6 linked regions of the Nothobranchius furzeri genome follow. The protein of the gene in region 1 purifies or fractionates together with the protein of each later gene. This does not show direct contact. Links are inferred from orthologs where the notes say so. Each region holds a gene or a part of one and is shown on either strand. Other genes may lie near its edges.

Evidence for each region.
Region 2: the proteins of anapc15 (region 1) and anapc1 purify together in Homo sapiens (affinity purification with mass spectrometry; 3 studies listed by BioGRID and IntAct, with this or other methods). This does not show direct contact. The link is inferred for Nothobranchius furzeri from reciprocal best matches to the Homo sapiens genes ANAPC15 and ANAPC1.
Region 3: the proteins of anapc15 (region 1) and anapc2 purify together in Homo sapiens (affinity purification with mass spectrometry; 4 studies listed by BioGRID and IntAct, with this or other methods). This does not show direct contact. The link is inferred for Nothobranchius furzeri from reciprocal best matches to the Homo sapiens genes ANAPC15 and ANAPC2.
Region 4: the proteins of anapc15 (region 1) and cdc26 purify together in Homo sapiens (affinity purification with mass spectrometry; 3 studies listed by BioGRID and IntAct, with this or other methods). This does not show direct contact. The link is inferred for Nothobranchius furzeri from reciprocal best matches to the Homo sapiens genes ANAPC15 and CDC26.
Region 5: the proteins of anapc15 (region 1) and anapc7 purify together in Homo sapiens (affinity purification with mass spectrometry; 3 studies listed by BioGRID and IntAct, with this or other methods). This does not show direct contact. The link is inferred for Nothobranchius furzeri from reciprocal best matches to the Homo sapiens genes ANAPC15 and ANAPC7.
Region 6: the proteins of anapc15 (region 1) and anapc4 purify together in Homo sapiens (affinity purification with mass spectrometry; 10 studies listed by BioGRID and IntAct, with this or other methods). This does not show direct contact. The link is inferred for Nothobranchius furzeri from reciprocal best matches to the Homo sapiens genes ANAPC15 and ANAPC4.

Annotation. Positions count from the first base shown.
Region 1 is NC_091753.1:34,127,138-34,132,903, forward strand, and holds the start of anapc15 (anaphase-promoting complex subunit 15), read left to right. Parts: upstream 1-2,067; 5' UTR 2,068-2,158; intron 2,159-2,411; 5' UTR 2,412-2,413; coding exon 2,414-2,533; intron 2,534-2,613; coding exon 2,614-2,673; intron 2,674-2,762; coding exon 2,763-2,903; intron 2,904-5,337; coding exon 5,338-5,385; 3' UTR 5,386-5,766. UniProt on the Homo sapiens protein: Component of the anaphase promoting complex/cyclosome (APC/C), a cell cycle-regulated E3 ubiquitin ligase that controls progression through mitosis and the G1 phase of the cell cycle.
Region 2 is NC_091752.1:26,765,807-26,771,005, reverse strand, and holds part of anapc1 (anaphase-promoting complex subunit 1), read right to left. Parts: coding exon 5,023-5,199; intron 4,592-5,022; coding exon 4,496-4,591; intron 4,241-4,495; coding exon 4,150-4,240; intron 4,077-4,149; coding exon 3,996-4,076; intron 3,856-3,995; coding exon 3,706-3,855; intron 3,618-3,705; coding exon 3,474-3,617; intron 1,246-3,473; coding exon 1,185-1,245; intron 1-1,184. UniProt on the Homo sapiens protein: Component of the anaphase promoting complex/cyclosome (APC/C), a cell cycle-regulated E3 ubiquitin ligase that controls progression through mitosis and the G1 phase of the cell cycle.
Region 3 is NC_091745.1:17,485,645-17,490,843, reverse strand, and holds part of anapc2 (anaphase-promoting complex subunit 2), read right to left. Parts: intron 4,407-5,199; coding exon 4,287-4,406; intron 3,985-4,286; coding exon 3,867-3,984; intron 1-3,866. UniProt on the Homo sapiens protein: Together with the RING-H2 protein ANAPC11, constitutes the catalytic component of the anaphase promoting complex/cyclosome (APC/C), a cell cycle-regulated E3 ubiquitin ligase that controls progression through mitosis and the G1 phase of the cell cycle.
Region 4 is NC_091746.1:69,563,967-69,569,692, forward strand, and holds cdc26 (anaphase-promoting complex subunit CDC26), read left to right. Parts: upstream 1-2,247; 5' UTR 2,248-2,382; intron 2,383-4,302; 5' UTR 4,303-4,324; coding exon 4,325-4,405; intron 4,406-4,560; coding exon 4,561-4,773; 3' UTR 4,774-4,791; downstream 4,792-5,726. UniProt on the Homo sapiens protein: Component of the anaphase promoting complex/cyclosome (APC/C), a cell cycle-regulated E3 ubiquitin ligase that controls progression through mitosis and the G1 phase of the cell cycle.
Region 5 is NC_091757.1:28,331,319-28,336,258, reverse strand, and holds the end of anapc7 (anaphase-promoting complex subunit 7), read left to right. Parts: intron 1-664; coding exon 665-807; intron 808-945; coding exon 946-1,063; intron 1,064-1,136; coding exon 1,137-1,333; intron 1,334-1,407; coding exon 1,408-1,632; intron 1,633-1,699; coding exon 1,700-1,850; intron 1,851-3,132; coding exon 3,133-3,322; 3' UTR 3,323-3,523; downstream 3,524-4,940. UniProt on the Homo sapiens protein: Component of the anaphase promoting complex/cyclosome (APC/C), a cell cycle-regulated E3 ubiquitin ligase that controls progression through mitosis and the G1 phase of the cell cycle.
Region 6 is NC_091748.1:39,294,528-39,298,502, forward strand, and holds the end of anapc4 (anaphase-promoting complex subunit 4), read left to right. Parts: coding exon 1-62; intron 63-175; coding exon 176-273; intron 274-371; coding exon 372-433; intron 434-528; coding exon 529-567; intron 568-666; coding exon 667-768; intron 769-850; coding exon 851-928; intron 929-995; coding exon 996-1,175; intron 1,176-1,383; coding exon 1,384-1,507; intron 1,508-1,972; coding exon 1,973-2,191; 3' UTR 2,192-2,316; downstream 2,317-3,975. UniProt on the Homo sapiens protein: Component of the anaphase promoting complex/cyclosome (APC/C), a cell cycle-regulated E3 ubiquitin ligase that controls progression through mitosis and the G1 phase of the cell cycle.

The sequences.
Region 1 (5,766 bases):
TTTGATCAAATTAGTGTTTCTTTTGCCTGGCATGCAGCGCTGCTGAGAGAAGATTAGTTATTAGTTAGGTCATTAGTGTCTGATTAAAGTAACAAGCTGATAAAATAGAGGAGCAGTGGTTAGCATGAGAAAAGTTGGGAAACATAAAATGTGTGACTGTTTAAAATACTTATAAATCTGTAGTGATCCCATTTTATGTTTATTTTGTAATGAAACTTTTGCAGTTACAAAACTTGGGACGTGCCCTTTTAACCTTGTTCTGTGATTGTGAATACAGCTATGACTCGCTGGTTTAAGATAACGACGTGCACACTGAGTCCACTTAACTCTTATTTTTGTGTAGCACCTGTGACTGCAGCTTTAAATTTAGACAAAACAATTAATTCAGCCAAAGCATGAATGAAAGTCGGACTTCCTTCAGCCTATTTCTCATTCATTTCCATGTAATGTGGATGATGATTTTCCTCAAAGTGTTTAAAAAACAAACTAAAGATGATGAATTCAACATAAAACAGGTGAAACCACCCAACACCTAAACTGTAAGCAGCCACAAATAATAAATAAAACTTACTGTTAGTTTAATAAATGTTCACAACATTCTGAAAAGTTAGTCAAAACAGACAAATAACTGTTAACTTCTCAGTGTAAAAGAAATCAGAGTAACCACAACAATCTAAATCAATCATGCTTCAGCTCTTGGAAAACATTTCCTAAATCGATAATAATTTGCAGAGTCAATAAATTGGGTCTCTTTACCTTTTTTTATATTTTCTGATGATTCAGTTGTAAAGAAACTTTCTGTAACTCTCCAAGCAACCTCTGGCACACTTCTGAAGACTCAACACTCATCCGTGAGATGCATGAGACCGAGCACAAGGTTGGCCCTAGCACAGCTCAAGAGGAACTTCCACTTCCACTACCATTAACTAATATGTATCCAAAGTACAAAGACTTCATCACGTGTGTGTGTGTGTGTGTGTGTGTGTGTGTGTGTGTGTGCTGGAGGTGGGATGAGAATGTGTGTGTGTGTTATGACACAAATATGATCATGTGTTTTATTACTTACTGGACAGTTTGTCTTATCTCAAGGTCTTGCACACACGCACCCACAAACACACGCACGCACACACACACACACACACACACACACGTTTCTGCTGCACCTGTTTTTTGTGTCCTGTTTCAGCTGAAATGGCAGGCGTGTTCAGAAGTGAGTTTAATTTGAGATGTTAATGATTATGCAATAACATAAAAGAGAAACAAAATGAACATTTGAAAAACAGCTAAAAATATATGCAATATCTTTATTTTAACTGCACTTGTATAGCACCTTTCAGAGTCAGAGACTCCAAAGTGCTTCATACTGTGTGAAAACAATAAACACACAACAGCATCTGCATTATAAAGGGGACCTGATAAGCCAGCTGTTGGAAAAGCTACACTTGTATGAGTAAATCAGAAGTTTCATTTATACATTTCAAATATTGTGTAATAAAAATAAAATACACGTAAATTGTAAATAATAACATATCTTTAGGTTTTGACATTACAGCGTGTATCAACTCTCTCTGGATGCTGAATTTCACATTTAGTTATAACTTTTGTATACATTTTTATCACTGAAAGGTTTTTCTTTGTACCTCTGTCTGCTTAGTTTACAACAATGATTGTATTTGTGTATGGTTGCCAGGAATCAAATTAAATCAAATAGAAATGTTGGTTGAAACTGTATTATTGCCACAATTTTAAAATAAGATGTCATAAAATTAAAACAATGACAGCAACATGGTAGAGGTTTTTTAAACTGATTTCATTGTGCTATTGTTTTATTGGCTCATTATTAATGTTCATTAACTTCATCCAGCAATTCTATTTCACTGTCATCTTGTTAGAAAAGTTTGAGAAAACATTTCAGATTAATCAGAAGTAGATGTTCACAGAAAAATAAATAATTTGTGGAAATCTCTTCCCGTGGTTAAAGCTATATTAAGTTATTGTATGGAAAGCAGAAATAATAAAATATTCATATGTTTATACTTTCAGACACCCTTCCTTAGCTTGTTCAAGGCGGAACCTTCCGAAGGGACGCTTTATGCGTGAACGCAAGCTGTTTCCGGTTAAGTTTGAATTGTTAGTCTTTTGTCAGCAGCGACTGAAGGTACAAAGTATTCAGACTAATTATTACTTGTTTTTTCGTTTAAATGTTTGAATGTGCTTTTGTAGTTTGATTGAGAATTTGCTGAGGGATGGAAAATCTTTTGGAGAGCTAAAAAAAACACATCTTGAGATAAGTTCAGGCGTTTGTGTGGCAGCTTCACCCACGTTTGGTTTTAATCCATAGTTTAAACATTTATGAGCACCTTTACTTGGAGTATTTTACATGTTTTGTGTTTGTTATCGTCTGTGTGTAGCTATGTCCACGCTGTTTCCGTCGTTGCTCCCGCGGATAACAGAGTCGTTATGGTTCAACCTGGACCGACCGTGTGTGGACGAGACGGAGCTCCAGCAGCAGGAGCAGCAGCACCAAGCCTGGGTAAAGCCGAGCTCGGCTCCTGCACGTCATCTGTTCCCTTCCTAAAACTCCGATTTTAATAACGCTCTTGTCTGCTTTAGCTGCAGAGCATTGCTGAGAAAGACAACAACCTAATGCCCATTGGAAAGCCAATATTTGAGGTTAAAATTCGAATAACTAATTGAAATCGTGACATTCTTGCGTGATGGGCCCTATATATAAATGTGCCATCTGTTTTTGCTGAGTGCAGGCAGGCTATGAAGAGGAGGAAGAAGAAGACGATGAGGATGAGGAGGACAGCGAAGAAGACTCAGAAGATGAGGAAGACATGCAGGACATGGATGAGATGAACGACTACAACGAATCGCCTGATGACGGCGAGATCAATGAGGTGCTTTCAGTTATTCTTCTCAAGCACATGATTTAACAACAATATCGTAATTGGCTAATAGGACTTTTAATATAATTGTAACCTTTCTTCTGGCTCTTGGAGAGTACAGACGCTTTTTTTCTCCTCTTCCTCCCTCCTTATCCCAAGCTCTTTGTCCTGTCTTGTGTGCACGGCGCTTTCTGCATTTTTTTTTTTTGGAATTTGAAATGATTAAAAATAGATCTGGTCAGTTGGTCTCTCAACACGATTGACAACATTTTTTCAAAGATGAGAACGGGAGAAGGGGCTCCCGGATGCCCCTCTGGGACAGAACCAGCTGGGCATATCATGGACTCCTGGAAACAGTGGAACATGGTCTGCCTCTCTCAACTGTCTGTAGAGGATTCTGAAGATGTTTGGATATTCGTCGTTAGATTCAGGCTCTGGCACAGAAGGTGGATTCCATCAAGAAGAGAGTTGATGGATCAGCACGGATTGGGATAGATTAATTATGCCATTGCTGGATCTAGAGAGGTTGAAGACCAACAGAACTCTAAGGCAGAGAGGAAATTATCTCTGCCTGTCCCCAAAGCAATTCTTATCTGAATCTGGTGCCCTTGAGCCTGTGAGGCTGAAGTGAAAACTTCCCTCTCAGAAGAAATGTGGAATGCTGCCGTCGCTATGGAAACTCTTTCTCCCTATCCCAGCCTGGGCGGGACTGTGACCGGTGAAGGCCGTGGAACCATATCTAGGAGTCAATGCGCCCTCTAACCCATTATCTCCCTCCCCAGTCCAAACAGAGGTGATGAGTGCTGCTCCATGCGGCTGCACGCACTGAAGTGAGGAGAGTCCCAACCCTACCTCCCCACCTAGTGGACACTTATGTTGTGTAATGTCAGAAGTCTGTGTGCATTTCTGTCTGAGGTGTTTTCTTGCATAGCAAAGCTACCCTCTCTGTTGAGGGTAACTCTGAAGTGCCCTTTCCCCCTCCCCCTGACTCTTTCCTCATATAAACCCTCTTGATCTATTAAGGTAGCGCAACTCGGGTTGCGAATGACCACAGTCACCAATTCTTGTCATGTGTCTATCTCAGAATTGTGTGTACTGAAACTCTAATTTCCCTCTGGGATTAATAAAGGAAAGGTCTACTCCAAGGTACTGGAGAGGAGGGTCCGATCGATAGTTGAATCTCAGATAGAGGAGGAGCAATGTGGTTTTCGTCCTGGCCGTGGAACTGTGGACCAGCTCTATACCCTTGCAAGGGTGATGGAGGGGGCATGGGAGTTTGCCCAACCAATCCACATGTGTTTTGTGGATTTGGAGAAGGCTTATGACCGTGTCCCCAGGGGCACCCTGTGGGGGACGCTCCAAGAGTATGGGGTGGGTGGCTTTCTGTTAAGGGCCATTCAGTCCCTTTACCAGAGGAGCGTGAGTTTGGTCCGCATAGCCGGTAGTAAGTCGGACCTGTTCCCAGTGAGGGTTGGACTCCGCCAGGGCTGCCCTTTGTCACCGGTTCTGTTCATCACTTTTATGGACAGAATTTCTAGACGCAGCCGTGGTGTGGAGTGTGTCGAGTTTGGTGGCAGGAGAATCTCGTCTCTGCTTTTTGCGGATGATGTGGTCCTCCTAGCTTCATCCAGCTCTGACCTTCAGCTCTTGCTGGGTAGGTTCGCGGCCGAATGTGAAGCGGCTGGGATGAGGATCAGCACCTCCAAATCTGAGACCATGGTTCTCGACCGGAAAAGGGTGGCTTGCCACCTCCGGGTCGGGGGAGAGGTCCTACCTCAAGTGGAGGAGTTTAAGTATCTCGGGGTCTTGTTCACGAGTGAGGGTAGGAGGGATCGGGAGATCGACAGGCGGATTGGTTCGGCGTCTGCAGTGATGCGGACGCTGAGCCGATCTGTCGTGGGGAAGAGGGAGCTGAGCCAGAAAGCCAGGCTCTCGATTTACCGGTCGATCTACGTCCCAATCCTCACCTATGGTCATGAGCTTTGGGTAATGACCGAAAGAACGAGATCGCGGATACAAGCGGCCGAAATGAGTTTCCTCCGTAGGGTGGCCGGGCTCAGCCTTAGAGATAGGGTGAGGAGCTCGGACATTCGGGAGGGACTCGGAGTAGAACCGCTGCTCCTCCGGATCGAAAGGAGCCAGTTGAGGTGGTTTGGGCATCTGGTCAGGATGCCTCCTGGACGCCTCCCCGGGGAGGTGTTTCGGGCATGTCCTGCCGGCAGAAGGCCCCCGGGTCGACCCAGGACACGGTGGAGAGGTTACATCTCCAATCTGGTCCGGGAACGCCTTGGGGTCCTGCCGGAGGAGCTGGTGGACAAGGCCGGGGAGAGGACGGCCTGGAGCTCCCTAGTTGGGATGCTGCCCCCGCGACCCGGACCCGGATAAGCGGAGGAAGACGAGACGAGATTTTTGAATTTGAACTAATTACTGTGTTACTCCTGTTCAGGTGGACATGGAAGGAACAGACCAAGATCAAGACCAGTGGATGATTTAAGACTCAGGATGATTTTAGTCCCAAACAAACCATCCACCCTTGAACTTCTACTCCAGCTGCTGCTTTCCCCCCACCATGTGATGCAGATAGGTTTATTTTTTGTGTTTTTGGCATAAAGATCTATTTGGATCACCACAAGATACTTCAGGAGGAGGTTGGCACTTTTGACTACCATCAAGCTGTAACTCATCAGACTTGAAATACCTTATTAGACCCTGCTGTGAATGTTTCTACCTGTTATTTATTAGTGTGAGTGATGTGCGTGAAGATAATGCCACTTGTCCTGTTTTTATGGTAACTCCTGCTACGTTTAAACGTTAGATAAGAGTGCTGTCTGCTGCTCTAAAATAGACCCATATATGCAACGCTATAATTTTGTAG
Region 2 (5,199 bases), on another chromosome or scaffold:
CAGGGAATCCCGGTGGCTACCGTAATGTATTTTATGTGCACGAAAAGCCCAATTTTTAATCTTTTCAGCACTTTTGGAATTTTAATGATATCTTGAACTAGAGCAGGGATCGGCAACCCGCGGCTCTTCCATCCCATCTGATGCTGCTCTCTGTGCTTGTAAAATAATGAATGGATATTCAAATAAAATGCTTTATATTTTACTGAATTAATTTTATATCTGTAAGTCAATTCTATGTGAAGATTGTCTGCGTAAACCTGAACAGTTCCAACCCAGTCTTGCTGTGAGACTGGGTTGGGTCACGCTTATGCTTAATCATATGTGCTTTCTGAGCTGAAAAGGATGTGAGATTCTGGGATTCTCCTCAGACGGCTCCTGGATGTGTCGCCACATTGGAGACAGGAACAAGCACTATTCAGCCAAAGTTTCATAATCAGGGAACATTTACTAAGTGACAAGTCTCTCTGAGTGACAGGGTTTGGAAAACACTCGCTTCAGTGGGAGGAAGCTTCCCGCATGCGCTCTGGTTCTGCGACGCGCTCAGCTGCGCTGAGCAATGTCCAGCTCAGATGTTCAGATGGGAATCTTTTCTTGGGTGATTTAGCTAAATCTGCGATGTGCATAATGAATAAGATGTTAGTTCGTCTGCATGCGTCGGGGCAATTTTTTCTATTCTTTCTCCGTCAAAATTAACCGTCAAATACGGGAACTATCCGGTCAACACAACACGAGCCCTGCTCTTGACTGTTTTGTTTTCTTGTGAAAATTGTTGGAAAGAGATCAAATTTAACTTGATTAACACCAGAGCCAGTGCGCCGTTATCTCCGTGACGGTAAATGAGGGGAAAACAAATTGATCGGATCCTGCACGTCTTTTAACACATTGGTCAGGATTGACGCACTTTTTTTTCATTTAGTTGGTTAAAAAAAAGTCGGGCTTGGGCTCGGGTCAGGCCAGAGAATCCTGAAAACCTTTTCGGGCCGGGTCGGGCTGGGGCTCCATACCCTCGGGCCGGGCCGGACACGGGCTCAGATTTTAGGCCCGTGCAGGGCTCTAGTTGAGATGGTCCGATTAAAAACGTATGCATTCTTTTAACAGTTACACTACCCAACAAAAACACAGAGTTTCAAATGGCAATTTCATTTTATTGTGTATAACATACATGATCATGGCGTTTCTCTTACCCAGCTCAGATGTAGCAACTTCAGGTACAGAGATCCTCAGCATGGCACCACCGCCGAGTTCCTGTTGATAATTAAACAAACACCAGAATACAAATGACACCTTTGTGTGTGTGTGTGTGTGTGTGTGTGTGTGTCAAGACGATGAGTGTAATGGGGGTATTATTGTCATACTGCTTTTATATTTATGGGGATGGAGGGAATGTGGGTATGTGGGGTCATTTTAATTTGTAAAGCACTTTGAGTTGCATTTATTGTATGAATTGTGCTGTATAAATACAGTTTGATTTGATTTGCAGTCCAATTTCACAGAAGTGTGGTGAAATTTAAGATTGTGTCTATTTCAATCATCTGCTTTATAAACTGTAACTAAAGCAGGTAAATAGAAAATTAGTCATGCTCAATCAGATTTTGTTAAAAACAAAAAAAGTCTGGTGATGAAATATTTCAGCAGAGAAAGAGTCCAGATGTATTTAAATATAAATTGATATAGCAAAAACACCAAACTGTTGTAAATCTACAAAAGGAGAAGAGTTAATACCCAACAGACTGGAATTAGGAAGTAAAGTTCTGGATCAGAGTTTCTATTAGGGCTTTAGCATTGCTCTCGACTCGTGTTGAAAACAACGCTCCACTTTGATGGTGACCGCAATTTCTAGGATGTTTTCTAAAAAAAAAAAATCACTGTTGCTTTGAGGCTTTAGACCCCCCCCCCCCACACACACACACACACACACACATTATAGAAACTTGGATGAAGATAATCTCATTTCCAATGGATCGCCAGCTCTACCACAATGACTTTTTGGAAGAGACGAGAGTAAGGTGGCATGGCTCCAATCTATATGTGGATAATAGACCCACATCTCTAGTGACATTAAGATCATGTTATATCCAACTGGGTTGGGCAAATTCTGTATTTTAAAAGAGAAAAAACTTCATGAGAAAATAACCAATCAACTCGACAGCCCAAATCTGGAGCTTTGAAATTCTCTGCAGGGTTCAACATAAATAATTGATACATAAAGGGCCCAAAGAAAAAATGTCAGAAAATCAAACCAATCAAAATCTCTTGTTTCTGTGACCATGTTTGGTTAAAATAAGGGATGTTCATAGTTAATCGGTTAATTCCTGTTAATGTTATAACTGGTAAAATAGTTTTGCCTGGTTAACTGGTTGGTTGACTGCCAGCTCACTAACCCTAACCCATAACCACAGAAGAAGAGCTAGTCACATGACCAAATAAATTTACTCACAAATGAAGCGGTTAGAAAAAGGCACAGCGTGGGAGCATTTTAGACTTGGTGGTTAACAGAATGTGCCCCATAAAAGCCCTGAGCAGGAATAAACATGGAAATAAAGTCACGCAGCAAAATGAAATGAGACCAGCAACAGGTTAGTCTCTGCCATGTCTCCTGCTTTATGAAAGCTTAGTGTCTGCCTCCTCTAGTTCGTTTAGTGAAATAAAAAAACATTGGTGTAATTATTTATGTTTTACTCAACTTTTTATTAAAAAAATACATGTGCAAAGCAGGTCATCATATATTAGTTCAAAGTAAGGAAACTAAAGTGAAATTTATATATATAAGTGGGTGTAGCGAGGACGCGAGAATGAGTATTCTAGGAATTCGGACAGTACTCGTTGCTGCGCTGTGACGTCATCGACCTCAAAATGCGCTCTTACAAGCATCCTTCCCAGGGATTCTGACACACCCAAAATATTAGCTCTAGCAAAAAATAACTTCTTGTCTTAAAGTATCTTTTCAGAGTTTTCCCCTTTCAGAAATTATGTATGATTTTTCAGAAATCCGTAAAAGTCATTATCTTATCAAGTACGTCTTTTTTTTTTTTGCTAAGCACGCCCCCTGCCCAGCAGAGCTCCGAGCAATAGGGAACTGAGCACCAACCAAAACTCACCAATAGCGTTAGACTACAGCATACCTGCTGATGTAGAGTTGATGTATTTTTCCACAGACAAGTCTTTAAAATATGAATATATGAAAACACAACATGACATGAGAATAATACGTGTAAAACAACGTGGTTTAGCTCTGTTTGTCGGCTACAGAGGCACATTTATAAACAGAAACATGAAGTTGCCATCTTAAAAAAATGGATCCAGAGACTATGTGTGTGATATGCTTGTCAGCCACTAGATAGTGCCATTGAATGAGAGAAATACTCTAGAAAGAGACTTTAAGTGACTGTCTTTTTTTTTTTTTTTTTTTTTTTTTTTTTTTTTTTTTTTTTTTTTTTTTTTTTTTTTTTTCATTTTTACAAAAGCAAACTCACCAAAGTAACCCGGTTGCAGACAGGATCCCGTAAACCATGTATGCAGGGTGTGGCTTGTTGGAAAATGTGATCTTCAAAAAATGATGCTTCATGGTGTTTGTTGTTTAGACCCTTAGGCTCTGATACTGGTGAAGGCATAAAATCCTGAAAAAAGGGTGTGCAAAAGTTAGAGAATAAAACTTGGGAAAGTAAATGGATTTCTATTTGTCGTTCATTAACTTCCTGTCTTGACCTGTGCTGGTACCTCACTGAGTCTCTGGATGTGCCTGTTTACACCATTAGCAGGTGTGCTGACACTCTCCACAGGAGTACTGATCTGGGGCCGCTGGTTGGAAAGGCTGAAGCTGGGGGACAAAAGACCAGGAACAAACACCTTACTGACCTGCAGGAAGACAAGGAAACAAATTCATGACTTTCACTCCATGGCAAAAAAATAAATAAATGGTCTGAAGTAGAAAACAGTCATCAGAGATTTCTCCCGAGGCTGTACCATCGACATACATATATCTGGGCTGTACCTACCCTGGTGATTCCTGTGTAAAGAACCAGACTGCCACACGCCTCCAGAACCAACATGGCGTCTATATTCTGTCGAGCAGAAATCTGTTGTCAGAAGCACTCGATTGTTCTTCTAATTGACATTTCCATTGATAGACCAATACTGTAGTTAACTTACCTGTAGAGGTGCTGCATCTTTGGCAGAAATGGTCGTCACAGACGGGAAGATGAGCTGAGACGATTCGTTGCTCTCGATAAATTTCACACATCTGTGGATAGAAGAAAATAGAGCCACTCAGATGGGTCACGGTGTGAAGACTAATGTAATTAAATGTGAAATATTTAGAATGACACAAATTGCATCAATGACTGACTCTGCTGCATGTGTAATTTTACACAAAACAGTCACCAACAAACCAAGAATATACATCAGAGCTTGAGTAAACCAGCTCTAGTTTCAAATATCAGACTCAGAGCTTCAAAATGAAAATGACGGTGTGTGTGTGTGGCATGTATCTGTTGACCTCAGCTGCTGATGAGACTCCACCAGGAAACAGAGATACCGGTTCTCACAGAGGTCAGAGGTAATGAACACTTTTGATGCCTGACTGCTCATCTCCCTGCAGAAGCAAACAGATCAGAACGGCATATTTTTTCTCCCACTTGTTTAGGTATATTTTACATTTTTGTGCAACAATGACACATTAATTATCATCAAAAAATGCTAAAAAAAAAATAATGAGTTTAATGACCCAAGAGGAAAAAGAAAAGATGGAACAGTAGCTTAAGAAAAACTTGCGTTAATCAAATTGCTTGCCTAAGCTAATTTGTCCTCAAAAGGTCATTTGACATAAAAAGATGAGGCATGGATACATTTCATTAAGAGTCTTGATGACCTAACATAACAGAAAAGTGAATAAAAGCAATCAATTAGAAGAAAATGATGAATTTATATTAAAACAGAAATATCAGTAATTCTAATAACTGTCATTGCTGTAAATGAATCAAGTCTGTATGTCTGTTTTCAAGCTGACTCAGTTCTGGTTATTACCTGTGACAGCCAGCAGCGACCGTCTCAGTCCACAGCTGCTCCACGCAGAGGTCGGGTACAATGGGCTCCATCTCTGGCGGGAGCACCGTCTCGTTCACGGTGCTGTTAGGAGAGGACAACAAACCGTGGTGCCCCCTGGAGGATGGGCTGTGGAAAGACGTGTTGAAACGAGACGCG
Region 3 (5,199 bases), on another chromosome or scaffold:
AATATGTAGGTATATATGTGTACATATGTATGTATATATGTGTATATATGTATGTATATATGTAGGTATATAAGTGTATATATGTAGGTATATAAGTGTATATATGTAGGTATATATGCGTATATATGTAGGTATATATGCGTATATATGTAGGTATATATGTGTATATATTTAGGTATACATGCGTATATATGTAGGTATATATGTGTATATATTTAGGTATACATGCGTATATATGTAGGTATATATGCGTATATATGTAGGTATACATGCGTATATATGTAGGTATATATGCGTATATATTTAGGTATATATGTGTACATATTTAGGTATATATGTGTACATATTTAGGTATATATGTGTACATATGTATGTATATATGTGTACATATGTATGTATATATGTAGGTATATATGTGTATATATGTAGGTATGTATGTGTTTATATGTAGGTATGTATGTGTATATATGTATGTGTATATATGTATATATGTATGTGTATATATGTATGTGTATATATGTAGGTATATATGTATGTGTATACCGTAAATCCTCTAATACAGGCCGGTATTCAATTAAAGGCCGGGTCTCCAATTTTGGCCGGTGTCGGAGTCGGCGGAGGTGAATAATGGCCGGTCTCTTATTGTGGCCAGGTGGAATGTGGTAACAAGCAAGTACGGGGGGCGGTTGTGTCATCGTCTCACTTTTGATTTGCCAGTGATAGACCGCGAGGGTAACTTTAACTGTGCGGAAATGAAGAGGAGGCGAAAATTTGATATCAAGTTCAAAGAGAACGTGCGCTGCAGAACACTGGGGAGCACTAGGGGTTGTATGAACTAGTCTACTTCACTATAGTGACTTTTTATGCCTGTCGTCGACTAGTCGCTGTCACGTGATAATGACCGGCAAGATGCAGCCCTCGGAAAAGACAGCAGCCTGCTATCAGCAGGTGACAAGCTCCTGCGCTCGGGGGGGGGGGCAACGAGCTGTGCCAGAGCGTCGGTACTGACACGCGATCGTTCATGTCGGTTCATTTCCTTTAATGTTTTCTGTCTTTTATTTGCGCCTGATGTGTTTCGCTGCTGTGGAGCGGGGCACATCACCTTGTCCTCTGACGCACCGATCACTGATGCGGCCGCCAAGCAGGGAGCGCTCCGCTGTTTTTGAGGTCGGTAATCTGCCTCCTGAGCACAGCCACAGTAACAATCAGGTGTTGCCAAATTATTTAACACGCGATCGTTCATGTCGGTTCATTTCCTTTGATGTTTTCTGTCTTTTATTTGCGCCTGATGCGTTTCGCTGTGGAGCGGGGCGCATCAACTTGTCATCCGGTGACGCACCGATCACTGATGCGGCCGGCAAGCAGCGAGCACTCTGCTGTTTTTGCGGTCGGTAGATCTTTTAGAACTGCAGTTCAAAGGTAACTCATAAGGTGAATATATATGAACCCAGGTAGCAGTTTCTCTTTAGGATTGAGAGGAGATGCAGGAAGATAATAAACAGGCAGGACAAAAAAATAGTCAAATAAAAACAAGTTAGTTTTTGTACCTGGTGGTTGCAACAAACAGACACCATTGAAGGTAATCAGAAGTGAGGAACAGAAAATGAATTAATTATTTTAATGTTTAGAGCAGCAGGAACTCCGAGAGGCTGCAGGCGCATCAGTGAGTTTGCAGCCGCTGCGCAGGGGGAGGGGGGAGAGGGCTGAAGCAGAAACTACCGTTGTTAAAAGAAATGTGTTTAACTTTGAAAACGTGGGCACAATATTAATTGTCAAAAACTCCAACGAACCATTAGTTCATTTTGCTCAAATAGAAATAGAGGCCTGCCTCTAATACTGGCCCTCCTTCCAACAAAGGCCTGGAGCTTGATGAGCTTGAGTCAAATACAGGCCCGGGCCTGTATTAGAGGATTTACGGTATATATGTAGGTATATATGTGTATATATGTATGTATATATGTAAGTATATATGTAGGTATATATGTGTATATATGTAGGTATATATGTGTATATATGTAGGTATATATGTGTGTATATGTAGGTATATATGTGTATATATGTATGAATATATGTGTATATATATGTATGTGTATATATGTGTATATATATGTATGTGTATATATGTACTGTAAGTATATATGTGTATATATGTAGGTATGTAAGTCTATATGTGTATATATGTAGGTGTATATGTGTATATATGTAGGTGTATATGTGTATATATGTAAGTATATATGTGTATATATGTAAGTATATATGTGTATATATGTAAGGTGTATATGTGTATATATGTAAGTATATATGTGTATACATGTAGGTATATATGTGTATATATGTAAGTCTATATGTGTATACATGTAAGTATATATGTGTATATATGTAAGTATATATGTGTATATATGTAAGTATATATGTGTATATATGTAAGCATATATGTGTATATATGTAGGTATATATGTGTATATATGTAAGTATATATGTAGGTATATATGTGTATATATGTAGGTGTATATAAGTAAGTCTATATGTGTATATATGTAGGGTTATATGTGTATATATGTAGGTGTATATGTGTATATATGTAAGTATATATGTGTATATATGTAAGTATATATGTGTATATATGTAAGTATATATGTGTATATATGTAGGTGTATATGTGTATATATGTAAGTATATATGTGTATACATGTAGGTATATATGTGTATATATGTAAGTCTATATGTGTATACATGTAAGTATATATGTGTATATATGTAAGTATATATGTAGGTATATATGTGTATATATGTAGGTATATATGTAGGTATATATGTGTATATATGTAGGTATATATGTGTATATATGTAGGTATATATGTGTGTATATGTAGGTATATATGTGTATATGTAGGTATATATGTGTATATATGTATGTATATATGTGTATATATATGTATGTGTATATATGTGTATATATATGTATGTGTATATATGTACTGTAAGTATATATGTGTATATATGTAGGTGTATATATGTAAGTATATATGTGTATATATGTAGGTATATATGTAAGTCTATATGTGTATATATGTAGGTGAATATGTGTATATATGTAGGTGTATATGTGTATATATGTAAGTATATATGTGTATATATGTAGGTGTATATGTGTATATATGTAGGTATATATGTGTATATATGTAAGTCTATATGTGTATACATGTAAGTATATATGTGTATATATGTAAGTATATATGTGTATATATGTAAGTATATATGTAGGTATATATGTGTATATATGCAAGTATATATGTAGGTATATATGTGTATATATGTAAGTATATATGTAGGTATATATGTGTATATATGTAAGTATATATGTGTATATATGTAAGTATATATGTAGGTATATATGCGTATAACTTTGTGCTTCTTTCTGTGCAACTTGTTTTTTCTCTTTTTTTTCGGTTCATGGGTTGAGGTTGTGTCGGCCAACCAGTCCAGAAACTATATTGTTCATATTTTTTTAAGAATCATATGATTGTTTCATTTGTATTATTGCTATTTTAGTTAAAAGGGGCAGATAACATACGTTTTTCTTCTTTCTGTCCCCTTTTTCATTTTGGCTTTTAGCAATTTAGTTTTGTATTTTTATTTTAATGTCAATAAATGAAAATATAGTTGAAAAAAAAACCTCCAAAGTGTAAATTAAAATGTGAATCAGAAGAACACAGTGGGTGTAGTGAAAAAAAAAAGACTTTTATTAAAGAACGAACAATTTATAACAAGATCTGTGTTGTTCTATCAGAAGTATTTCATCAGAAGGTTGAACTGTTCCAAGTGGTGATGGTAGACTAAAGCAGCGCTGGAAGAACCGGACCTACCTGAGGTATTTACGGATGGGCTGGCAGGCCACCTGCAGGATCACCATGGACGGGTCCAGCTCTCGGAGAGCTTTGATGGCTGAGATGTAAACGGTGAGAATGTCGGCCGTGTGAACGCCTGGAAGAACAAACAGATTCCACATAAAACACGTGGGCTTGATAAAAAGGAAACGTTTCTCTGACGGGAACAAAGAAATGCTTTTAGCTCTCCACTTGTTTGTTAATAAACAGCCAGTTTTAGAAATCTAAACCGGTCAGTTTTTTACCTTCTATTCAGAAAAGCTTCTTTTTCAGCATTTTAATGCCTTTTATTTTTTACCACTTTGGTTTTGGTGCATTTTTAGTCTTTTATTTTAACCCAACGTGAACTTTGCAGTTTGATCTCAGAGTTCAGTCGATGTCCTTCACACTGACACAGACCTGGGTGCAGCAGGCGGCTTTCAAAGGCTGATTTCAACGACACGAGGAGCTGCTGCCTCTGGTTGGTTCGCTCCAAGCAGAACTTCAGATCCTCGATGGCAGCTTTAGATTCCGGAAAATCTGGGAAACAGAAACCAAGGAGAGAACATGATTTACCACAGGGGAATAAATCTGACCCATTTCCAGCCTGAGGTCAGCTTTGATGACAGAACTTTACTGAATCTTTGGGTTGTTTCTATTAAACAGAAAAGGACAGAGAAATGAAAATTTTCAGACACAAACAATAAATAAAAACAAACTCCTGGTTTAGTTTAAAACCCGAGACACAGACAGAGAACGATCATCGTCTCAGAACCAGTTTTAGGTCTCAGACAGAATCTAGGTTACATTTCTGAGATCTCATCCGTCCCGTCTCTCTGTGCTGAACCAGAAACCTCACACGGGTTTTGTTTTTCAGACGTGAACAAGCCAGAAACTGAAAATGTCAGATTCTTCTTCATCATAAAAGTAGATTGTAGGAAGCAGATTTAAGGACAAATAATAAATTAGATCATGAAGTCTTAAATTAATATTTTGAATTTATTCTGATCACAACTGAAAGGAAATATCCTGGTAATAAAGATTTTTATTCCAATTTTTGTTTCTTAAAGGGACTTGACGGAGTTTTTAATTTTTATGCTCGCGATTGCCCCCTCAGGCCAAAAGCATAACGGCAGCTTCAATAGTAGACTCGTGCACGAGGCGCGCATGCTGTACGTGCACACTCCTTAACGAAAATAACAGCTGAGACAGTCCCTTTTGTGTGTGTGTGTGTGTGTGTGTGTGTGTGTGTGTGTGTGTGTGTGTGTGTGTGTGTGTGTGTGTGTGTGAGGACAGAAGAACGTGCAGCTAATTAATTAAATAATGTGGTTCT
Region 4 (5,726 bases), on another chromosome or scaffold:
ACAGAAGTTTTTTTTCTAGTTGTGGTATAATTTACATTTTCCAGAGATGTTTCATCACTTCTCATCATTTCCACCACAGTAAACACCAGTAAATGATCAGTAATATCAGTTAAAAAAGGCCATTCTTTGTCTTGACGTCAGATTGATTTATGAATATATTATCAATCGGTGTAATACTACGGCTGTTATCCTGCTTGGTCTCAGTATCAACGGAAGGAAACCTAAACTAAACATTAAATTGATAAATTCAGCTATTTTAGTATTATCATCTGATTTAAACATATCAGTATTATAATCACCACAAATTAAAGCAATTTTGTTCCTACATTGCCCAAATAATGTTTCAATACGTTCATTAAACTGATCTATAGAAGAACCAGGACTACGATACATACAACTTATAATGATGTTTCTGGATTTTTTACACTTAATTTCAATTGTCAGACACTCCATCAAATTCTCAACAATGAAGGTCATATTTGTTAGTTTCGTACAATCAAAACCAGTCCTAACAAAAAGTGCTACCCCACCCCCTCTTTGTTTTGTCTGCTCTGAGTAAACATTTCATAGCCATCCAGTTTATTCAATAACTCTTTTCCATCTTTGATCCAGGTATCTGAAATTGCAACTACTGTAAGTTTCTCCTTGAACTCATTTAGGTAATCTGAGATCTTAGATAAATTGTTGTAGAGACTTCTGCTGTTAAAGTGTATTAATGAAAATCCACACATACTCACTTTGAAGTCCTCTACAATATAATATTCACAGTCCAGGTGGGTGTTGCTGCAACCATTAATTTCTGAGTCAACTCCATTATCTATCAGATTTGATATTTTTTTTAGATTTTATGATCTACATCACTGACAAACCTAAAAAAAAATCTATTATTTCCTGATTTCTTGTAGTCTGCTGTGTCCATGAATTAAATACCATCTTCTTCTCATCATTTGAGTTTTTCCAGTTCAGAGAGGCTCTTGATGCTCACCACCATAGCCTGTTCTGGTGGTCCAGTAAGCTTGATCATTACTTTACAGTTCCTTATCCAGGTATCCTGTATTTTCCTCTCCTTCTTCAGAATTCTTGCTTGCCAGGCAATCTCTGCATTCTTCTTTGTCAGGTGCTCATTTACATACACTCCTGTGCCCTTAAGCTTCTTTACGACCTTTAACAAGTCAACTTTATGTTTCCTGCTCACAAACTGAATTATTGTTTTGTTTTTTTTTTCCAGTTTTTTTAGGAATTGTGTAGCATGCAGCTATAGTGGTGCTGTCAATAGAAATGCCCTTACTTCCAAAGAACTGAATAACTTGTTTCTCCAGTGACAAACTATTAATGGTAAATGGCCTGTATTTGATATAGCGCCTTCTGAGTCCTGCAACCCCCCAAGGCGCTTTACAACACAATCAGTCATTCACCCATTCACACACACATTCACACACTGGTGGGGATGAGCTACGATGTAGCCACAGCTGCCCTGGGGCGCACTGACGGAGGCGAGGCTGCTGAGCACAGGCGCCACCGGTCCCTCCGACCACCACCAGCAGGCAACGTGGGTTAAGTGTCTTGCCCAAGGACACAACGACAGCGACAGACTGAGCGGGGCTCGAACCTGCAACCTTCCGATTACGGGGCGAGATCTTAACTCCTGTGCCACCATCGCCCACGCAATGGTGGGTTAGGGTTAGTTCATTATTTATTAACTAACATTAACACTAATTGATAAATTTTTATTATGTTGTTTGAACCCAAGGGTCTCATTATCAGATTTTTTTAACTTGTTGGATTGATCTAAAAGTGCCCCCTTTTTTTTTTTTTTTTTTTACTTTGAGCCCCGCCCCGTCAAAGGTCTCTGCACGGCCCTGGTTTCAGTAGAACGAGCTCTACGAAAACCTGACTGCCTGGAAGCTATCATAGATGTTATGAGTGAGTTAGTAGTGAACTGGTGCTGCAACCCACACCAGTAGTGAACTGGTGCTGCAACCCACACCAGTAGTGAACTGGTGCTGTAACCGTAGCTGTGCAGAACACACACGGACCGCACGACGAAACCATAGAAGCGTTCTGATGTTCGCACGTGACTCGGAGCTAACGGCTCACGGACACGCGTGTCTAGCCGAGCACGCGCACCTGCTGTTTGGACCATAAGCGTGTTTCTCTGTTTTAAAGCTTCGTTTGTTTTGTTGTTCAAACTTACCGTAAAAACAGACGAAGCCGCAACGTCTCCTAGCACTGCAACCCGGATATGAAACTGTTGGCTTCCGGGTCAAAGCTTCTTTTTCCGGTTGGTGGATCCGTGGACTTATGGGTAATTAACCAATCTACCTGTTAGCCAGATAACCAAACAGCTGACGATCAGGACGAAGGAGAGTCTCGGTGCGTCAGGTAAAGTCACCTGGGTTCGTCACACAAACGGGTTCGGGTGGACGGAAGTAAAGTTGACATGATGTTCACAGATTCGACTTTTCCGCCTCAACAACTTCGGATGTTCTGGAACATAACGCTGTGTGGAGTCAACCCGCAACACCTGCGTTATTTAAAACCTCTGCTTGCGACGCTTTTACGTTGATGGGGTGACGGTGGCACAGGAGCCCAGAGCCCCCCCTTAACCGGAAGGTTGCAGGTTCGAAACTCATAGAGTTGCGTGTTTTCCCCATCCATGCGGGGCTTCCTTGCGGGGTTAGACGCGGTTTTCCCCCCCTACAGGCTAACTCTTGTAGGTCTGCCACATAAATCAACTTGCCCTGCTCTCCTAACATTTTTTGATAAATGTGTCTTTAATTAGGTGAATTTTTAATCTCCTCCACAGTAGGACCCTAAACCTAGTGGCGCCAAATCGTCACAGCTGATCGATACTCTTGTGCCCGGCTTGGTAAACCTTTTAGGTTAAGAAAAACTGGTTTTCTGATGTTGGGTGAATTTTTCTAACTTGAATTATCAGTAGGTCCTACACAATGCACGGTGGTGCCACCTGCTGGTGAAGGTGGAGGTTTGTCAGCAGTGGCAGAACCAACATTAGGACGAATTACTGGATGCTTTCTTTGCAGTGAGATGATAAAGCATCTGGAGGGCTTGTTAGTGACCTGAGCAGTGAGAAGCGTGATCAGTGAAACATGTAAATGAATGATAAACGACCCACGCTTGTGTAGCACCTTTCAGAGCCTGAGGACTCCAAAGCGCCTTACACTACAGTGCATCATTCATCCATTCACACGCTGGTGGAGATGAGCTACGATGTAGCTACAGCTGCCCTGGGGCACACTGACGGCCAAGGCTGTCAAGCACTGGTGCCACCGGTCCCTCCGACCACCACCAGCAGGTAAAGGTCTTGCCCAAGGACACCACGGCAGCATTCTCTGTCTGAAGCTGGGATCGAAATTGCCACCTTCGGGTTAGTGGACAACCCGCTCTACTCCTGAGCTGCTGCTGTCCATCATGTAGTTCTGAGCTGCTGATAAAATTCAGGGCTGACTACAAAATCTTGCTCATCACATATAAGGCCACTCACAACCTTGCCCCTCGTACCTCTCCCATCTCATAAAGGTTTCTACACACTCCCCAGTTGCCATCAACCGGCACAGTCCCCCTGCCCGTCCTGTCACCGTGGGACGTCTGCCCCCTAACCCCTCTCCGTGGAAGTCATTACCAGCTGAACCCTCCACCTGTTGAAGCTTTTCTCTTCCCTGTAACTATGTTTGACGTTTTATCGTGCTTTTGAATGCACCACTCATTTAATGCTTGTTCGACTGTTTCGTTTGCTTTTACTTTACAGTGAACTTGAGTTTTTAGAAAGTATTTTTACGATGATTATTCACTTCACACATCTGTTTGACTGTAATATCCAGTTGTTGGTCTTCTATTTTTAGCGCTAACTATTTGTTTCTAATTCACTGTTAGCCATATTGGCTAAACGTTAGCTTCTAGCCACTTCAGCCAATATTAAAGTCAAACAAAACAATGCCGTGGCTTCTTAACTTCTGGGTCGCTCCTGTCACTGGCTTTTTTTTTCCTGTTAAAGATTTAAAAATATTCCTACTATGAGGAAATTCAAGCTCCTTCAGTGTTGTTAGTTTGGAGTCAAAGGCAAGAAATCATATAAAATATCTAAACAAATGAGACCTCCTAACCACCAGCTCACATCTACGACCTGGCCTCATAGCCTGCTACAGAGCGACTTCATGTTTGTTTACGGTCCACTAAACATCAGGTTTCAGCAGGTTTCAGCAGGGGACATTTGCACGGACATCACACGTAAAAAATATTTCTAGTCGATTGTTTTTCTAAATGTTAGTATTTGTTGTGCAGGTGCATAACAAAAACGAGGAAGATGCTGAGGAGGAAACCAACTCGTCTGGAGCTGAAGATCGATGACACAGAGGAGTTTGAGAGCATCAAGAAAGAGCTTGAGGTTTCAGTCACTCTTCTTTGTTCTGACCTGTAGCTGTCGTCACCAGATCTAATCAGAGGGTGACTATTGATGTGCTTTTTTTGCTGTCTTTGGTTTTTCTGACATCAGATGAAAACAGGTTGTTGATCTTAACATGTTTGTTTTTCTTTGTTTAGTCCAGAAAGCGTCAGCGAGAAGAAGCTGAGGCAGGAGGAGGAGTGGGTGGAGCTTCTGTCATTGGTGTGGATCTGATTGGGGGTGCAGCTTCTGGCTCAGCATCCTCTTCCACTGCTGCGTCCAGGGCAGAGCTGATCAACGAGAGAATCGGCTACAAGCCCCACCCTAAACCCGCCACGCTGCCAACCTTATTTGGAAGTTTGCAGTTTTAATAAAACTCAGAAAACATGTTTGTATGTATGTGTGTGTTTGTTTGTATGTGTGTGTTTGTGTGTGTGTGGACCACTGGTACGTTACACCAGTGAGTCATGGCAGATGGCTGCTTATATGGAGCCATGATCCTCTGGAGTTTTGTTCCTGTTAAAAGGGAGTTTTCCTCTCCACTGTCGCTGCATGCAACAGTGGAGAGGATCAGACAAGATCATCGGGTGAGGGATCAGAAAAAGAGCAGCCCGAATACCTCTTATGATAAATTATATAAATGGAAACCGTGTTCCCTCGCCTGGACGTGGGTCACCAGGGCCCCCCTCTGGAGCCAGGCCTGGAGGTGGGGTACGTTGGCGAGGGCCTGATGGCCGGGCACAGCCCGAAGAGGAAACATGGGTCCCCCTTCCCATGGGCTCTCCACTCGTGGGAGGGGCCAAAGGGGTTGGGTGCAATGTGTGACGGGTGGTAGTCAAGGGCGGGGACCTTGGCAGTCTGATCCTCGGCTACAGAAGCTGGCTCTTGGCAAATGGAATGTCACCTCTCTGGTGGGGAAGGAGCCTGAGTTGGTGTGTGAGGTTGAGAGGTTCCGACTAGATATAGTCGGGCTCACCTCAACGCATGGCTCTGGCTCTGGAACCAGTTTCCTTGAGAGGGGTTGGACTTTCTACCACTCTGGAGTTGCTCCCACTGAGAGGCGCCGAGCAGGGGTGGACATACTAGTTGCCCCCCATCTGGATGCCTGTACGTTGGGGTTTACCCCAGTGAGTGAGATGGTAGCCTCCCTCTGGGAGTATGGGGTACCAGGCCCTCTGATATGGGCTGTTAGGTCGCTGTATGACCGGTGTCAGAGCTTGGTCTGCATTGCCGGCAGTAAATCGGGCTCGTTCCCAGAGAGAGTTGGACTCCACCAAGGCTGACCTTTGTCACTGATTCTGTTCATAACCTTTATGGACAGGAT
Region 5 (4,940 bases), on another chromosome or scaffold:
TTAATACCTCATTGCACGTTTGAAGCAGCATCACAAAACACTGCATGAGAATTTTCACCGTTGAAACTTTGGACACTCAACTTGTAGCAGTTGGTAAAATGTGGGTTTTTTTTTCCTGATGTTCCTGCCCCAACTCTTCCCACCATTTGCTGACACTAAAACATAACTGAAGTGACCCTGAATTAGTATTTTGTACTTTAAAAATATATCTTTAGTTTATGTGTTTACTTAAAATATTTTTCAGTCTTTTAATTTATTTCTTTTTTTATTCATTTGTTACACGTTATGTTTAAGGTTTACGTTTATGAAACCAATGGTTAAAAAAATAGTAATTTCTTTCATACTCACTGTTGCTGGCTCTTGTTCTCCGATTGAGTAATATCTCACGATCAAGCCTTTCATACGTTCCACACTATGAAATAGGTAAAAGTATGTGTGATATGTGCTGTTATCAAGTCGGATTGGTATCAGTCAATACCGGTATCGTATCAGAAGTGAGAAAGGACATCCCTAGCTGCGGAGTGGATCCAGGGTTTTCCCTAGATGGGCGGGGATGATGTTCGGTTTTAAAAACAACCAGACTACACATTTCCATGGCTTCAGGGACTGAATTTGCTTCTTAATTCTCGTTCCTTTAAAATGAAACAAACACATTTTTCTTCAGTTCCCTGGAAAAGAAATCCCTTCTGCGGGACAACGTGGACCTCCTGGTGAGCCTGGCAGACGTTTATTTTAAAGCCGGGGACACTAAGAATGCTATTCTCAAATTTGAACAAGCGCAGATGTTGGACCCTTACCTCATCAAAGGTAAGTCACAGACAGCTGTTCATGCCTATGACCGCCTAGCAGTCGTGTGGTTTTCCTAACTTGACCATCTTTTTCAGTGCTGTTGTGGAGGAAATGCAGTTGTTTTTATATTAATGTATATAATTAAATCACATGAAGGGATGGATGTTTATGGCTACCTGATGGCCCGAGAGGGACACCTGGAGGATGTTGAAGTCCTAGGAGGGAGATTATTTAACATATCTGACCAGCATGCTGAACCCTGGGTGATCTCTGGGTGAGTCTCTAAGCAGACATCCCGACTAGACCTTTGTGAAGATGCTTCTATCAGGTTAAATGTTTTTGTTCAGTTGTCACAGCTTTTATAGCAAGCGCTACTCCAGAGCCCTCTACCTGGGGGCCAAGGCCATCCAGCTGAACAGCAACAGCGTGCAGGCCCTCCTCCTGAAAGGGGCAGCCCTGAGAAACATGGGTCGGGTTCAAGAGGCCATCATCCATTTCAGAGAGGCCATGCGTCTGGCTCCCTGTCGACTCGACTGCTATGAAGGCACGCTGGGGTTTTGGAAAAGTCTTTCGGTGCTGGGTGTTTCTCGCCTGCTTACAATAACTGAATTACCACAGGTCTGATTGATTGTTACCTGGCGTCCAATGGGATTCGAGAAGCAATGGGAATGGCAAACAACATCTATAAGACCCTGGGGGCCAATGCTCAGACGCTGACCATCCTCGCCACCGTGTGCCTGGAGGACCCTGTGACTCAGGAGAAAGCCAAAACCCTTCTGGACAAAGCACTTGCTCAGAGACCTGATTACACCAAGGCTGTGGTGAAAAAGGCTGAGCTGCTCAGTACGTTCAACTAACAACTGTAACTTTAACCAGGGAGGGAGCACAACTCACAGGTTTCTCTGTTCAGGTCGAGAGCAGAAACACGAAGAGGGGATTGCTCTCCTACGAAATGCCCTGGCCAATCAAAGCGACTGTGTCCTGCACAGGATGCTGGGAGATTTTCTGGTAGCTGTCAACGATTACCAGGAGGCCATGGACCAGTACAGTATAGCATTAAGGTAAACAGATCAATCTTTCAGAGCCTGTCTGAGATCCCTTCACCTTCACAGTGTAGGGATAGCATATGTATGTGTTTTGGGTGCTTTTAAAGCTCAATATACCACACTACATTTGACCAACAAGATATGAATTTCTATTTAAATATGGAAATTCTGTCTGATTGGTCTTTGAATGTTTAACCAGAAGATTTAGAATTCTTTGTTTATTCAGGGATTGTCAGACACTTCGTATTAAATCAGTCAAGTTTATAAAGAGTAAGACATTTATTTTCTAAACAATTAAAAACATGACAACTAGGAACACTTCATGTGATGAATGAATCTAAGTGGATGGAAAGTGAGGTGTGATGATGTGACGTTATCAGAGCCGTCGTATCTGGAGAAACTGAGTTCTGAGTGGGAGTGAATTTGGTCTGCTATAACTATAGTGATGGTTTGTAAAACCACATCAGACGCAATCTGTGAGCCTACGTATCCTCTGGGAGACCCCCGTGGTAGATCCGGAATGTGTTGAAGTCCGGGGACCCCAAAGGTACCGAAGTCCGTAGAAGAAACTGCAGTGCCGACTAGACCGGTCTCGAGATGTCTCCAGGTCACGACGGGTAGTTGTTTGCGTCTTAGGAATAACTCTTAAGGAGTTGGAAGTTGGTTCAGCTTTGTTCTGAAGGAACCGTTTGCGGTCAGCTGTAGCGTGCAACAGGGTTTTGACAGCTTGTCAAAGATGCGATGGGAGCAGAGTTTCCCTCCGATGGCCAGTCAGAGTTGGGCTCTACTGAATCCCTCAGGAAGTGATGCTGTTTAAATAACGGCCATATCTTGGTTTACTGACGAATCAGAACTTGCCCTGTAAAGGGGTTTTGCCAACAAACTCCGATACACACCTCTCAGATATGAAAGTGCTGAATTTGTGGATAAGAAAATATCTGTTTGCAGTGACGTTATTTCATTTAACCACATTGTCCATTTCATTACATGATTATATGATTAGTTACTGATATTGTTCATCCGTCTTGTTCTGTGAATAAAAACCAGTCTTAGATGAGAGCTTGCGAGGGACCTTGGCCAAGCAACAGTCTTTCTTGCAGATTGAAAGCACCAGTTAAGACTTATGTCTCCAAACGGCCAGATACTGAAGAGGTCCGACTGTAGGTGGAAAACTGACCATTCCTGGAGGCTACAACAGCATGGATAATACCGTTCCGACGGTTTCAGTAGACTTCACATTGTGATGATGATGATGTGTTATGAGAAAAATTTACATTCTGCATTTGCCCCTCCTCAGCCTCGACCCTAATGATCAGAAGTCCTTAGAAGGCATGCAAAAGATGGAGAAGGAGGAGAGTCCAACAGACGCCACGGTGGAGCTGGATGGTGACGACATGGAGGGCAGCGGAGAGGACGGAGATCTGGAGGGCAGTGACAGTGAAGCAGCCCAGTGGGCCGATCAGGAGCAGTGGTTTGGGATGCAGTGACCCGGTGCCAGTAAGGACTGCTCCATCACACTGGATGCCTTCAGCCATTGTGGCCCCTGGGAGTCATGTGATCACGATGGTGAGCTCCATGGGAGCGGTGCTGCTGAGGTTAAAGATGGGGGAGCTATCAAGCGTAAAAGCTAATGTTTCTGAGGGGTTTTTTACTAAGAGTCAGCTTCATGCCAGAACCGGACCTGCCAGCCACCACCGGCCTCCATCAGGAGGATTTACTTGTAAATAACAAACCCCATCAGCTACGTAAAACCAAGGGACACCCAGTACCACTAATGGTGATTATGCTTCTCTCTGGTGAGAAATCCTGAGGAGCTTTCTCATTTCACTTTGAATCTGACCTCCAGTACCCTTCACAGTGCTGTGTTAGATGGAGGCCCGTGCTGTACAGGAAGTGTTTTAGTTGAGCTGAAGGTGAGTAAACAAACCACCAGCACTGGCGAAATGTGGCTGTTGTCTGCCAGTGTGGCTGGGGCTGAAGGTGTTGCAGGAAGATTTCTCCAGCCTGACTCAAACATCAACTCAAGTGCAAAGTTTCCAGTGTTTTTTTTTTTACATGTTGTAATAAATGTATAATAAACTTGTTTGGTTTAGAGCTAGGTTGTGTGCTGAAACAGTTCTTAAACCATAACAGTTTACTGTTGCAGTATCGTGTGTCCAGCCTCAGACGACATCAGAAGGACACCAGGAGAGACGGGCTGAGTTCCTCATGACAGTTTTATTGACCTAAAACAGTTCATGTCATACATAGTACAATTATCTGAAAATACAGTACAGCAGTTTGGCCAGTGGAGGGACTGCCTGTCATCCTTCCAGTAAAACACGAGCATCACAGCACTCCCACCTTCTCATAAATGTGGTCTTCTCCAAACAATAAAGCTAACAGTTTGCTTTTTAAATATCCCATAAAACGTATTTCCTTAGGAAAAATGAACTGTTTTTAAAGCGTACTGACATTTATACTACCTGACATTTACCAAAACTATACACTGTTGGAGAAGTCTGATAAAACAGCTGGCTGTGCTGTCACATGCAGCATGGAGTAATTCTTTGACCATCCACTGAGTGGTGGTGGTGAGAATAGTTAGATCTCATGCAGGAGGCCAGAAGGACTCATGAAGGTGAACCAACTTGTTTCCATCACATTCGTTAATGGCCACTCTACAGCGATGGATGAACTTGGCCCATGTCGTCATATCACATCGTAGCATGCAGCTCTCGTTAGAAAGATGTGCTGCCCTAAACACACACGCACACCACAAAACAAAACCCAGAGTTTCTGCAAGACATTTAGAGGCGGCACAGCTTACTTGGCCTTTGCTGCAAGGGAAAGGAGAAAGAATGAATGGACACCAGAACCACATATAAATAAAAACATCACAATCATTCACATCAAAGCAGAGCACTGAAGGTCGTGTTACGGGCGAGCTGCAACACGAAACTCCCGGTGTCTGTAAAAACCAGACACCTTATGGGCCATTCCCATCTGTACCGGGTCGGCCCGGGCCGGGTAGCCCCAGTCGGCCCCAGCCTGGCCCGGTTGCTTCCACACATCCTTGTCTTAAGCCCATGTGGGCTGATTCTACCCACCAATCAGAGGCTTGCT
Region 6 (3,975 bases), on another chromosome or scaffold:
TCCTCCCAACACAAAGGGTAACCAGTGGCTCAGGTTTTTACAGGAGAGCACACACCTGAAAGGTAAGTGATGATTTTGAGTTTAGGTGCCTAATTGAACTTTTGCAGAAGGTAAAATGTTTTATTTGGCGTTTTATTTTGTGGGATACAAAAATAACGAAATCCTTCCTCTTTAGAGAGTCCTCTGCTGTTCCCATCATATCCTCAGAAGTCCCTGCACTTCGTCAAGAGGATGATGGAGAATGTGATTGAACACTGCCTCCAGAAGCCTGCTGTAAGTGTTTGTGTGCCGTTTCTTTTCTCGTCAGTACGAACAAGCATCCCGTCGGCTCTGCAACACTATCACTCTTAAATATGTTGCCTTGTTTGCAGGAAGTAATTGGAAAATCTGTCAAACAAGCAGTCTTCCTTCCTTTGTACGCCATTTCAGAGAAGTAATGTCCCATTTGTCTTTTTATTGTCATTGTTTAACATAGTTAAAATTTAAAAGGAAATGTAATTAATTTGATGAATTTTTTTTCTCCTTTAGGCCAGAAAACACTCCACGACTGTTTGAGCTTCCATCTTTGTGCGTGAAACCCAAACACGTCAGAGCTTTGTTTCTGTAATAACAAGATTGGTGTTTGTATTCATGGTTTAAAAAACATTTTTGTGTGTGAACACACAGGTGGAACGATAAAAAAAACAAAATGCACTGTGTTGTGTTCTGCATGCCAGACATTTCTCCATGTAAGCTCTACCTGCTACAAAAAGGAACAGACCCAAACAGGTACGCTGTAAGGATTCAGTGCATTTCCTTTTTAGCTGTTTTTTTTTTTCTTAGTTATAACCAAATAGTCCTGTTTCTGCAGACACATCCCTAACAGTTTCATGTCAGTGGACCTCAGCCTTTACCATGACAACGCAGATGATGATGGTGCTGCAGCCCAGTGAGTCCAGCTCACCATGGACGCATCAGCTGTTTGAAAAGCGCTGATTACACTAATTTACCATCAGTTTCCTATTCAGGTCCCATTGTGCTTATAGCTGCCTGGATGCTCGTTTCTATGACGACCAGATGCTAACAGTGGTCTTGCAAGGATCGGAGGAACATAACAGCAGGCGTATCCTGGCGCAGCTCTCTCTTGCCTCGAGCTTAAGCTGTGACGCTGAGTTCGTCCTGGAGCCCAGTATGAGGTGTGTGTTTTCTACCATTTTGTGCCTTTTACTATAAATGTTACTGACATCAAACCCAAAACCATTCAGGAAAACAAAGACGTGCTCTGGGATTTAAGCTTTTTCAAATGGGATCTAAATAAAATGAACTGGAAAATAAGTAATGTGATTCCTGTAACTATAACATTTGGCATCACCTGATTAAAGTGTATGTGTTTGATGTCGCTAGACTGGACCAGCAGTGCAGTACCATCCCATGCCAGACTCTGGTGTTGGGGAATCAGTGGCGAGAAATGGAAAACATGAAGGCTGAGTTTGTTGCTGTCAATGGAATCCGCAAAGTGGCCTGTGTGGTAGGTTTGTCGCGTGTGTTTGACATTGTTAGCCTTGACACTAAACCACTGGGCTGCATGGTGGCGCAGTGGTTAGCACTGTTGCCTCGCAGCACGAAGGTTGCAGGTTCGAAACTCGGCTCGGCTTTTCTGCGTGGAGTTGCGTGTTCTCCCCATGCATGCGTGGGTTTCCTCCGGGTACTCCGGTTTCCCCACAGATCACAACACGCCCTATAGTTATAAGTTGTAAGTCGCTTTGGTAAAAAGCGTCTGCTAAATAAATAAACATAAATAAATAAACACTGAAGCCACTTATGGGTCAGGTGCCTTCTATTACATGATCTGGGTATGACTTCAGGTTGAGATGTCGGATTATTTGTGTAACTGATGTGATCAATAAGGTCAGATTTGTTTGAGTCTATATATTATTTAGTTTGCATGAGTTCTAGGTTACCAAAAAATGTATTTTTCTCCCTGTTTTGGCAGCTAAGTGCCAACTTCAGGCACATACGTGTCTTTGAGATGGATGTAGAAGATGAGGACGACGAGGGAGTTGACTCTCTGAATGTCAGCGCTCAGGATGGGCTGGCAACTACCATCACCAGCCAAGGACCGGTAGAGGAGTCTGAAGGTGAAGCGAGAGAGCAGGAAGGAGAAGCAGTACAAAATACTGAAGAGCAACTTGAGTCGGAGGAGGCCCTGTAACTCCCGTGATACCAAAACTAAAAAGCTGCCTGAATAAAGGACTCAACTTTATCTTCTTATGTTGTTGGAGCAGTCTGAACTATACAGCTGTAATAATTATTAATAAAAGTTTATTTTAGCGATGATTATGGTATTGATTGTATCTCTTAAAGAACTAGGTTTTATGTAAAACTAGCCTAATTTAGACAACCTTAGCCCTAGATGCTGTAAACGTGTGGGTCGGTGGAAGAGTGTTTATCTGCATATTGGAAGTGGATTGATGCTGGTCTCCCTGTACATCATGATGTGTTCTTGGTCAACACTGAAACCATGAAGCTCGGGTGTGAGTGTGAATTTAACTAGCAGTAAAAGTGCCTTGAAAGGTTTAATGACTAGAAAAGCCCTTTATAAATCAAATTAATCAATCAAAGGTACTTTATTAATCTCAGAGGGATTGTCTATAAAATGTCAATCTGATATTGAGAGTTCCTCAAGGATGTGTATTCGGCAGAGGTGTGGACTCGAGTCACATGATTTGGACTCAAGTCATTATTTTAATGACTTCTGACTTGACTTGATAAAATCTATAAAGACTTATGACTTGACTCGGACTTGAACACCAATGACTTGCAACTTGAATCGACTTATCTGTTGACTTGATGATGACTTGAGCATATTTGATATTTTAGCAGTAAAGTGCCACGACATGGACAAAAGTCTGGGTTTGATCTTGTACGGCTAACGGCAGCAGCTCTTTGTTAATAATCAGTTTCAGTTGCACTTTCTGCTTGTTTGAGCAAGTAAATTACGCTTTAAGAAGCTTTATTCTGGAATGTATTTATTATTGTCATTAAATTGAAGTTGGACAGATGACTTGGATTTGACTTGAACTTCCACATCATTGACTTTGAACTCGACTTGGACTTGACTGGAAAGACTTGTGACTTGCAAAGCAGTGTCTTGGTCACACCTCTAGACTCAGTCCTTTTTACTTTAGTGCGGTGACAGACTACTGCCTATGTCTATTCACTTCCACTGATTAAGTTATCTGAAGATACAACAGTGGTAGAACCAAGGCTGGATTATAATACGGGCAAACTGGGCACAGGCCCAGGGGGCCACAGCCACAAGGGGGCCCAGTCTTTTTTTTATTTTTTATGCAGCAGTTTTAACGTTGGAGAAAAAAGTTGACAAGTTATTAAACTTGCGCCCACATTTTCTAAGTTAAAACACATTTCTTTTAACAACAGTAGTTTTTGCATCTTTACTGCCTGCTTCAGCCCTCTCCCCCCTCCCCCTGCTTCAGCCCCCCTCCCCCTGCGCAGTGGCTGCAAACTCACTGATGCGCCTGCAGCCTCTCGGAGTTCCTGCTGCTCTAAACATTAAAATAATTATTTCATTTTCTGTTCCTCACTTCTGATGACCTTCAATGGTGTCTGTTTGTTGCAACCAGCAGGTACAAAAACTAACTTGTTTTTATTTGACTATTTTTCTGTCCTGTCTGTTTATTATCTTCCTGCAAGAAAAACTGCTACCTGGGTTCATATATATTCACCTTATGAGTTACCTTTGAACTGCAGTTCTAAAAGATCTACCGACCGCAAATATAGCGGACTGCGCGCCGGCCGCATCAGTGCAGAGAAGTCTCCGGAGGATGAAACGGGTGATGCGCTCGCTCCGCAGCAGCGAAGCGTATCAGACACAAATAAAAGACAGAAAGCATGAAAGGATATGAGCTGACACGAACAATCGCGTGTTACGTTTGTTTTTGAGGTGGCGACAATTTGATAATGTTACTGTGGCCG